2 linked regions of the Tribolium castaneum genome follow. The protein of the gene in region 1 interacts with the protein of each later gene in a pairwise test. Links are inferred from orthologs where the notes say so. Each region holds a gene or a part of one and is shown on either strand. Other genes may lie near its edges. The genes, in order: scramb1 and P32.

What was found.
Region 2: the proteins of scramb1 (region 1) and P32 interact in a two-hybrid assay, tested with the Caenorhabditis elegans proteins (2 studies listed by BioGRID). The link is inferred for Tribolium castaneum from reciprocal best matches to the Caenorhabditis elegans genes scrm-1 and cri-3.

What each region holds. Positions count from the first base shown.
Region 1 is NC_087403.1:8,610,171-8,614,482, forward strand, and holds the start of scramb1 (phospholipid scramblase 2), read right to left. Parts: upstream 3,067-4,312; 5' UTR 2,786-3,066; intron 2,736-2,785; 5' UTR 2,727-2,735; coding exon 2,669-2,726; intron 2,626-2,668; coding exon 2,422-2,625; intron 467-2,421; exon of another isoform or gene 170-466; intron 75-169; exon of another isoform or gene 1-74.
Region 2 is NC_087394.1:7,764,538-7,769,138, reverse strand, and holds the start of P32 (complement component 1 Q subcomponent-binding protein, mitochondrial), read left to right. Parts: upstream 1-1,529; 5' UTR 1,530-1,625; coding exon 1,626-1,827; intron 1,828-1,872; coding exon 1,873-2,023; intron 2,024-2,070; coding exon 2,071-2,264; intron 2,265-4,601. Other genes in the region: Nop60B (H/ACA ribonucleoprotein complex subunit 4), read right to left, coding at 1-141, 189-337, 494-506.

The sequences.
Region 1 (4,312 bases):
AAAATCGTAAGTAGAACGGTAAGATAGTGTTCACATAAGGGACTGATAAAGTAGGTGCTTATGTCAATGTACTTGCATAATTTTGTCAACAAACGAAAAATCCTAGATAAGGCGAGCGTAATTTTATAATTACGTGTAATTTTGCAAACAGTAAGGTAGGTGTACTTGCCTTTGTTCACTTTCTGAGAGAAATTTATGGTAACCCTTGCTTTTTGGGGACCGTTTAATCCGAAATAGTTTGCCAAATTTACGAACCAAAATTCGAGGAATTGACTTAAATTTGAATTGTGTTCTTAGTTCAGACATGGTTAGAACTGACCCATTATTTTCCCTATCAATTCTGAAGACAAACAAACACTTTTTATCAAGCACAGATCATTCACTTCATATTTATTTCCATGACTTATTAATAGTTAATAGGAACATAATCGTGATTATTCAGAAAAGAGTCACACACAACGTATTTCAGTGTAATAATTGTTTTCTTCTTTCAAATAGTTATCTTATCATTTTAATCGCTAAACAATACAGGCTGATTCTTTTAGGGCCTACGTTAGAAACTTTTAGCTTCGAATTTTTGTAAACAATTTAAATCAACCATTCTAAGTTCAACTAAATTACATTCAAATTTAATTATGAGTTATGACTTAAATAATTGATTAATTCATTTTAATTGTAAGAAATCGTAGAAAAAACCTTATCGCGCACCTAAAAAAATCGCGATTTGTAATTAAATAAAAATTCATCACATTTTACATGCTTGAATGGACATTCGAAAGGTATCTTCCCTAATCTTTTAGTAATTTTTCACTTACACAGACAAGAATTATAAGAACAGAAAAGAATACAAAAAAAATTAAAAGTTCCTAAATAATAGCGACTACGCAAATAGTAAAAAAAGACAAAATAAAAAAAATTATACTGAAAAAAAAATTGGCAAAACCTTAACAAAGCTTCCGACTGAAAATAAAGCCAAAGATAATTGTGAAGAAATTATAGGAAAAAAAGTTAAAGAGAAAATAGCTGAACTAGTAATTCTTTTTAAGCTGACGAATTAATTGAAAAAATTTCGAAGATAATTTCAATTCTAAAACTGAAATTACTTTAGTAAGGAAATTATTAATTACTGAAGATAAACCTAGAAGAAAATTAAGAGAAATAAGAGTGGAAGAAAACAAACATAAATCAAAATTAAAAAAAGAATGTAAAAAATAAGACAATATGGAGGGGATTGACGAAAAATGTTTTACTGCAAAAAAATATACCAAAGAACACAAAATAAGAAATGCGAATACTCACAAAAAAAAATGCAAAAATGTGAGTATAGAAAAAATCGCATAACTTGAAACAACAGAGGAAAGTCTAATAACTGAAGAATTTAAAAATCGAAAAGTCAAGTCTTACAGAAAAAATATACTCAGCAGACTCACCTTGCATACTAAAAACCAAACGGCGTACTTCGTAAAAATTTCAAAAAATTAGCAGTCAACTTTTTTGACCCATGATCGCACGAAATGACTTAAATAAAATAAAACAGTTTTTATCAAACTTCGCAAAACATGAAATATTTGTAAATTATGTATTCTGTGCGATTATTTGAATTGATTTGATCATTTGAATTTATAAAATTAGGCGGTTTTTATTCTTTGTAATTGATAAAACTAGTGCATACTGGAGGAAAAATGTATTCTAATTAAATATTACATTCGAAACTTTAATACTTAACTCTTCAACAAAATAAATTATCACACCCAGCGTTTTCATCCAAGTTAAAAACCTAATAAAACCTGCTACAATTATTATTATAAATTCAAATAATCATATGGTATTTAGTTGAAGTAGATCCTATTTGTTACAAAAAATTGTACTACAACTTGCTTTAAAAGATCTAAAGACGGTCTAAAGACAAGCCCTAAAAATTTTTGAACTATATATTGTAGATTTATAACAAGAAGATAAGAAAATAAAGTAACACAATTCTAATTAATGTAAGAAGAATATTTGATTAAACTTTTCTTCAGGACAGCAAAGTAATCGAATACAAATCGATCAACATAGAAAAATATTGTCAAAATACATTTATTTAGTGAAATTTACTTTCTTAAACAATTGGACTTCGCTCTTCGACGGCGACAAAAAAATTCTTTTGACATGTTTTTTTACCAAATAAATGATTACATAATTATATATACACACTTTTATCTCAAAAAATGTACAATAAAAATGCACATACTATCGCAAAGTGGTTATTGCAATAATGATGGGACTTGGACCACTTGTAAAAAAATTTAGTAGATAACAGATGAGAGATATGTTGAGATAATTACATAGATAATAAATTTATTTGGAAAAAATATATAGCGAACTGACTTCAAAAACATATAAATTTTACAAAAATGTAATAAAAAAAATTGAATATACCTGGTGCACCTCCAGGACCTGGCCCCATCGGTTGATTGATCACTGGTGGAGGCCCATAGTGTCCTGGGGGCGGGTATTGCCCTGGGGGTGGGTACTGCCCTGGGGGGTACCCCTGAGGCGGCGGTCCGTACCCCGGAGGGGGGCCATAGCCGGGCGGCGGCGGCGTTCCATAGCCCTGACCCGGGGGCATCGGTGGATACTGACCTAAAGTGTTTGTAGTATCACCACTTAACCCCCAAAAACTTACCATTGTAGGGTGTAGGGTAAGGCCCAGGGTGCTGTCCACCAGGTGGAGGGTACGACATCTCTAAAAACTATCAAAAAAATGTTATCTATTTTTATCTTTCGACTTTTCAAATTATACAGAGTGTTACGTCATTGAATTATTTCGGAAAATTAGCACACTGGATTATACGTACTTTTTTGTTTACTGAAAAGCTGTCAAAATTATGAGTCACTCTGTTAGCCTCGGGGTCATGCTGAGTTATTTGTTTTTGGGGCTAATTAAGACAGTCGGATAGTTAAACACACTAATTGGTACGTAATACTTAAAATTGTTTACTGATGGGTGCAAATAGGACGCAAGAATTTCTGAAATTTGTGGTCGGAAATTGCCCCCAGATGGCGCTGTAAACCCGGGAAGTATGAGTATTTTGGGATGTTTTATTTTTATTGCGTTAATTGAGACGACAATAATTGCAAACTTGTAGTCTTTTTGATTGATAATTTGGTTTTATGGCGTTGTAAAGTTTTATGTTGTTTGTAGTAAAATGTGAGCTGGGGCTTTGGTTGACTTTATGACGGTATTTACACCAAACAGTCTAATGCGAGGTTGTCTGGTAACGCCTAACCAATAGGCCCATAGCGCGCGCACTACGTCACCCAGAATGCTTGTTTAAATCGGAATATTAAGTGCAATAAGTATATTGTTTTTATTTAAACGCTTTATTTTTATGATCGAAATTGCCACCAGACAAACGTTTAGTTATTATTTTATTTTAAATTTTAGAACTACATAATTTGTTCTATGTGTATTTTTTTGCATTTTGTTGACCCGTTTGCTGTCGACAAACAGCATTTAAATAAATTATGTTTTACTGTGCCACATCACACAAAAATCCACGTTTGAATTTACCACTAGATCTAAGGCTTTAATATTTTTTTAACTCGAAAAACACTACAAATATCATAACTGATCAAGTTGAACAGTCAAATAGTAAAATTTCAAAGGGTAATATGTAATTACAAAACAAATTTCTCTCAGTTTGCACTAGTTTATCAATCGCAGACAAAAAAAACTTATTCTAATTATAAATTTAATTATTACATGGTACTCGATGTATGTAACTTTAAAAAAAAATGTCTTACAATAAATGTTAATTAATTAAAAATATTGGAATATTAGTTGATCAAAATTTTCTGATTTCTAGTGTTTTCTTCCAAAACAAACAATATTTAAATGCTTAAATTTTGGAACTAGTGACTTTTTTACGATTTTTTGTGTAAAATATAAAAATTAAGGAGAGAAGAAATATTTTTTGTAGCATTTTTACAATTTATCTTGTAACTAATTAATTACAGTATAAGCTCAATTATATAAACTAAATAAAACCATAAGGTAAGGTGTAGGCGCAATTAATACAAAAAACAGTAAGTAGTAAATAATGAATTACACAATAAAGAATTAGTATTAATTAGTAGATTTTTAGTTTTTAGTTTAACTTTTTTTAAGAAATTACGAAGGGTAGATCTATGATTGTTCTCAGAATTAAAAGGAGGTGATTAAGACTGGAATTGTTTTATTTTTTTTACTCCAAATTAATATTTTGTCGTACGCTAAAATAGTTTCAGTTTCAGTGTCTTGGTTTTATCATTTGAATTAATGTAATTT
Region 2 (4,601 bases), on another chromosome or scaffold:
TTCGTGACTGCTTGGATTACTGGGCTTGTCCAGGTTAATGTAACCTGACTTAACATAATCGGAAATTTCCCTTCGTAAAGGGGAAGAACCAAACGGCAAAGGTACGTAATGGTTCGTTCTCACATTCAAACGGTCAAAATACTGCAAATCACGCTTTGATGTAACGAAAAACCGAATTTAAAACCCACCTTTAACAACAAGGGCCACTTGGAACTGTCCAACTTTGCAATCACTGAGGAGGGCTCCACTGCAAATTCGGAGCCTTTTTGAAGGTTCCCCAAGTCTTTGTCGCCCTTGCTTTTCTTCTTTTTCTTCTCCCTAACGGGCGTATCCGCCTCTGCACAAAATTGCGTTCTAAATAACGATAAGACAAAGCGGCCGGTTTTTTGAAAAAAATCATTATTTTTGAAACTCTAAATACATTTCTACCACTAATTATTTATCAAAGAACGAAATAAAGCCTCGTTAAAGATAATAATAAACAATAACTTACCAAACTCAGACATCGCTTAGAAAATAACCAACACGTGCATCCGACACAGAAAGTAGGGTTAGTTTTTTGACAACTAACAACAATTTTGACAGATTTTAAGTGGCGCTACTGAAAAAAATTTAAATGAAATAAATGGCGGGAAATGTTTTTTCGGTTATTTAGAGTCTTAAACGATTTTTCTTTTATTTTTTTTATTTTATTTTGGTAAACATTGGCGTTTTTATGCGCTGTAATCGGTGTTTAAAAATTTAAAAAATGTAAAAATTGCAATCTTTTTTTTTGTGTTTTTTTTCGGAAACACTGAGACTTAGAACTAAAATCAAAAAAGCATCAGATAGCGCCTAAAATTATCTATTTTCTTGCCAAAACCCGGAGCCGCTTCGGTCAACGGTTCCAGGTACAGAGGCATATAAAGTTTTACATTAAAAAAATATTTATCAAAAACCAAAAGTCTATTGTCCATTTTTTATTTCATTTAAAATTTTGAAATTTTTTGCTCAAAATTTTAATAATCAAGGCACTTACCTTCACAAAAATTAAGAAAAAAAATTTAAACTCACTCTAGCAAAGTTTTACGAACTTTTTGGCAAATAACTCAGAATGTGTTAGTTAATTACAAAACTTAAAAAAAAATGCCAATAGTTTTAGAAGAAATATAACATATGACGCAACTGTAAGTACCCTTCTATAGCTGTTTTTTTTGCAAAATTATATACGGTAACCCGTTTGCAAAATGTAATTTCAATTTTTAGAAGTTGATTACTCTACATTTTTCCAATTCAATCCAGGATTTTTTTTAAATATTAAAAATCGTTCTATCGAAGAGTTTTCTAAATTTTTCATTAATTTTAATTTTAGACCACAAAATTTTAATTACTATAAGAAAACTGGCCAATTATTGTCCGGTTTAACATTTTATCTGGACACCGGACAATCATCTGGGTGAAAACCGGACAGGTGTGGCAACCCTATGAGGAATTTGGTGACGATTTAGTGATTATCGTTTGTGGGTTGGTGCCATTCTGGGGATTTTCGTAGCGTTGGGTTGCGCGTCGCTTTTTTCTGACAGTTTTTTTGATAGCACGTGTTGTGGCCGGTTTTTTCACGCATTTCGCCTAAACTAAGTATAAAAATGAATAATTTGCTTCGAGTTGCGTCCAGACTCAGCTTCAAGACGCTCCTGAGTCCGGTTAAAAAAGTGTCCAACACTTTCCAGCAGCGGCAACTTGCGCGCAATCTTTGGTACATGTGCAATCGCAATGAGTCCGAAAACAAACTGAGCAAGTTGTGCACTTGTGGGTGCATGAGCAGGCACCAGCATGCACACAGTAAAGGTACGTAAGTGAGCCCAATAAGTTGGAGGAATAACAAACTTGTAGCCGAACGTGAACTGGTTGAGTTTCTCACTGAGGAGATTGTCCTGGAGAGGAAGGCCCAGAAGTCGGTGACGCTTCCAGCCGAGCTTGAGGGTTTTAAAGTGGGGTTGAACGGGTCTGAAGTCACTTTGAACAAAAAAGTTGAAAATGAAACGTGAGTCAAATGCGTCTCATTTCTTGTTATGAAGTGGCAACTTCTAGGATAAAAATTACTTTCAATGTGAACCACACAGTAGACTCTGATGAACTACCTAAAGTGGATTCGACGATGGACAATCCAGAATTTGGAGAATTAAAGTCAAAGCCTGAATTTCGAATTGAAATTGTGCGAGGGTCGACCACTTTCAGTGTTTTGTGCTCATTTTTAGAAAGTGATGAGCAAGAGGAAGATTCTAGTAAGACACTTCTGTTTTTAATTCACAAGATTTTGCACAACTTTCGGCTCAAAATCTAATCGAATGAAACGCCATTTGGTGATAATTTTATTCGGTTTTAGAGGATTAAAAAACGCTTCGAACACTAAAAAATCATATATGATAGCATTTTTGTGAAGATATGCGAAATCTTGGAATAAACTAAGCCCTTAGCTGAAAAAAGTTCAACCTGATTTAGCAAATTTTCGGCTTATTTTTCGCAACAAAATGTCCTAAATCCCCCGAAAACGCAAAAAATTGGGATGTTTTAACCTTACTGAAAGATTTTAGGATTTTAGCTCTAATACATCCTTTTTTGGTTAATTTTTGACGATTTTCTTCGAAATAATTAAGTTTTTGACGAAAAAACGTTTTGAAACGCTCAAAAAAAGGCAATAATTAGACAAGAATGTGCAAAATAAATGCGTCTTTGGCTCAATTAAGAATGAAATCGAGGAAATCAATCTCAAATAGAATATCATGGTCAGTATGATTTGGTGTTTTTTTCAACTAGTTTTGGAGGATTGTAATTCGAAAAAAAAACTGCTTTTTGGCGTTGTTTTGCAATTCTTCGGCTTCTTGTAACTAAATTTTGCAAAACAACTGCGTTTGTAATCTAGAAAACCTGTTAAAACTCCCAAAAACAATACAATGATCGTCTATTTTTTATTCAGTTTAGCGAAATTGCGGAAAAAAACACGCTATTTTCAGGCTAGTTTACTGATTTCTCATCTTTTTTCTTAAAAATAATTGTTATTTATGGTCGAAAAACGTGCCAATATGGTTAAAATTGCTAAAAATAATGCCATTTTGACCTGATGCTTTGTTTGGTAATTCTTTTTTGTAACCAAATTTTGAGATAACTGCTTTTTAAAACTTCCAAAAACCAAAAAACTACAATGATCACCGGTCTATTTGTTTATTCAGTTTAGCGAAATTTCTCAAAAAGTACGCTATTTTCAGACTAATTTAGTGATTTCCCAGCTTTTTCTTATAACGTTTTGAAAAATTATTGTATATTTCTTGTTTGAAAACGTGCTAAAATGGTTAAAATTTGTAAAAATAATGTCATTTTGATCTAATTTTGGCTTTGTTTGGTAATTTTTCGGCTTCATTGTGACCAAATTTTGAGAGATAACTGTGTTTTAAAACTCCCAAAAACGCTACAGTGATCACAAGTCTATTTTTTATTCAGTTTATTCAGCTATTTTCAGGCTAATTTACTGATTTCTCATATTTTTTCTTAAAAATAATTGTTATTTATGGTCGAAAAACGTGCTAATATGGTTAAAATTGCTAAAAATAATGTCATTGTGACCTAATTTTGGGTTTGTTTGGTAATTCTTCGGCTTTTTTGTAACCAAATTTTGAGATAACTGCTTTTTAAAACTTCTAAAAAACCACAATGATCACCAGTCTATTTTTTTATTCAGTTTAGCGAAATTTCTCAAAAGTACGCTATTTTCAGACTAATTTAGTGATTTCCCAGCTTTTTCTTATAACGTTTTGAAAAATTATTGTATATTTTTTGTTTGAAAACGTGCTAAAATGGTTAAAATTTGTAAAAAAATGTCATTTTGATCTAATTTTGGCTTTGTTTGGTAATTTTTCGGCTTCATTGTGACCAAATTTTGAGAGATAACTGTGTTTTAAAACTCCCAAAAACGCTACAGTGATCACCAGTCTATTTTTTATTTAGTCTATTGAAATTTCGTTATTTTTAGGCTGACTTAGTGATTTCACAACTTTTTTCTTTTGTTTTGAATATTTCTGGTCGAGAAACGTGCTAAAATGGTAAAAATTATGTCATTTTGATCTAATTTTGGCTTTGTTCGGTAATCCTTCGACTTCTTTGTAACTAACTTTGCAAGATAAATGCGTTTCTTGTTTATAAAAACTGTTAAAACTCCCAAAAACGCTACAAGTTTAATGAAATTTAGAAAGAATACGTTATTTTCAGGCTAGTTTATTGATTTCCGATGTTTTTTCTTACGTTTTGAAAAATAATTGTATATTTCTAGTCGAAAAACGTACTAATAAAACGGTTAAAATTGGTAAAAATAATATCATTTTTTACCTTTTGCGATTTTTGTGTCCAATTATACGGAAAACTCGCAAACAGATTAAGGTTTTATCTCAGAAACGCGCTTACATGCTTGAAAAAGGTAAAAATACTATTCTCAATAGGTTTTATTTTTGACGAATTTTCTCGAAGTAATTACGTTTTTGTTTAAAAAACGTTTTGGAATCTTCAGTAAAAGTAAAAATAACACCTTTCTCAGCTTTAGTAACGCTTTTATTTAAATTTTATAATATGTT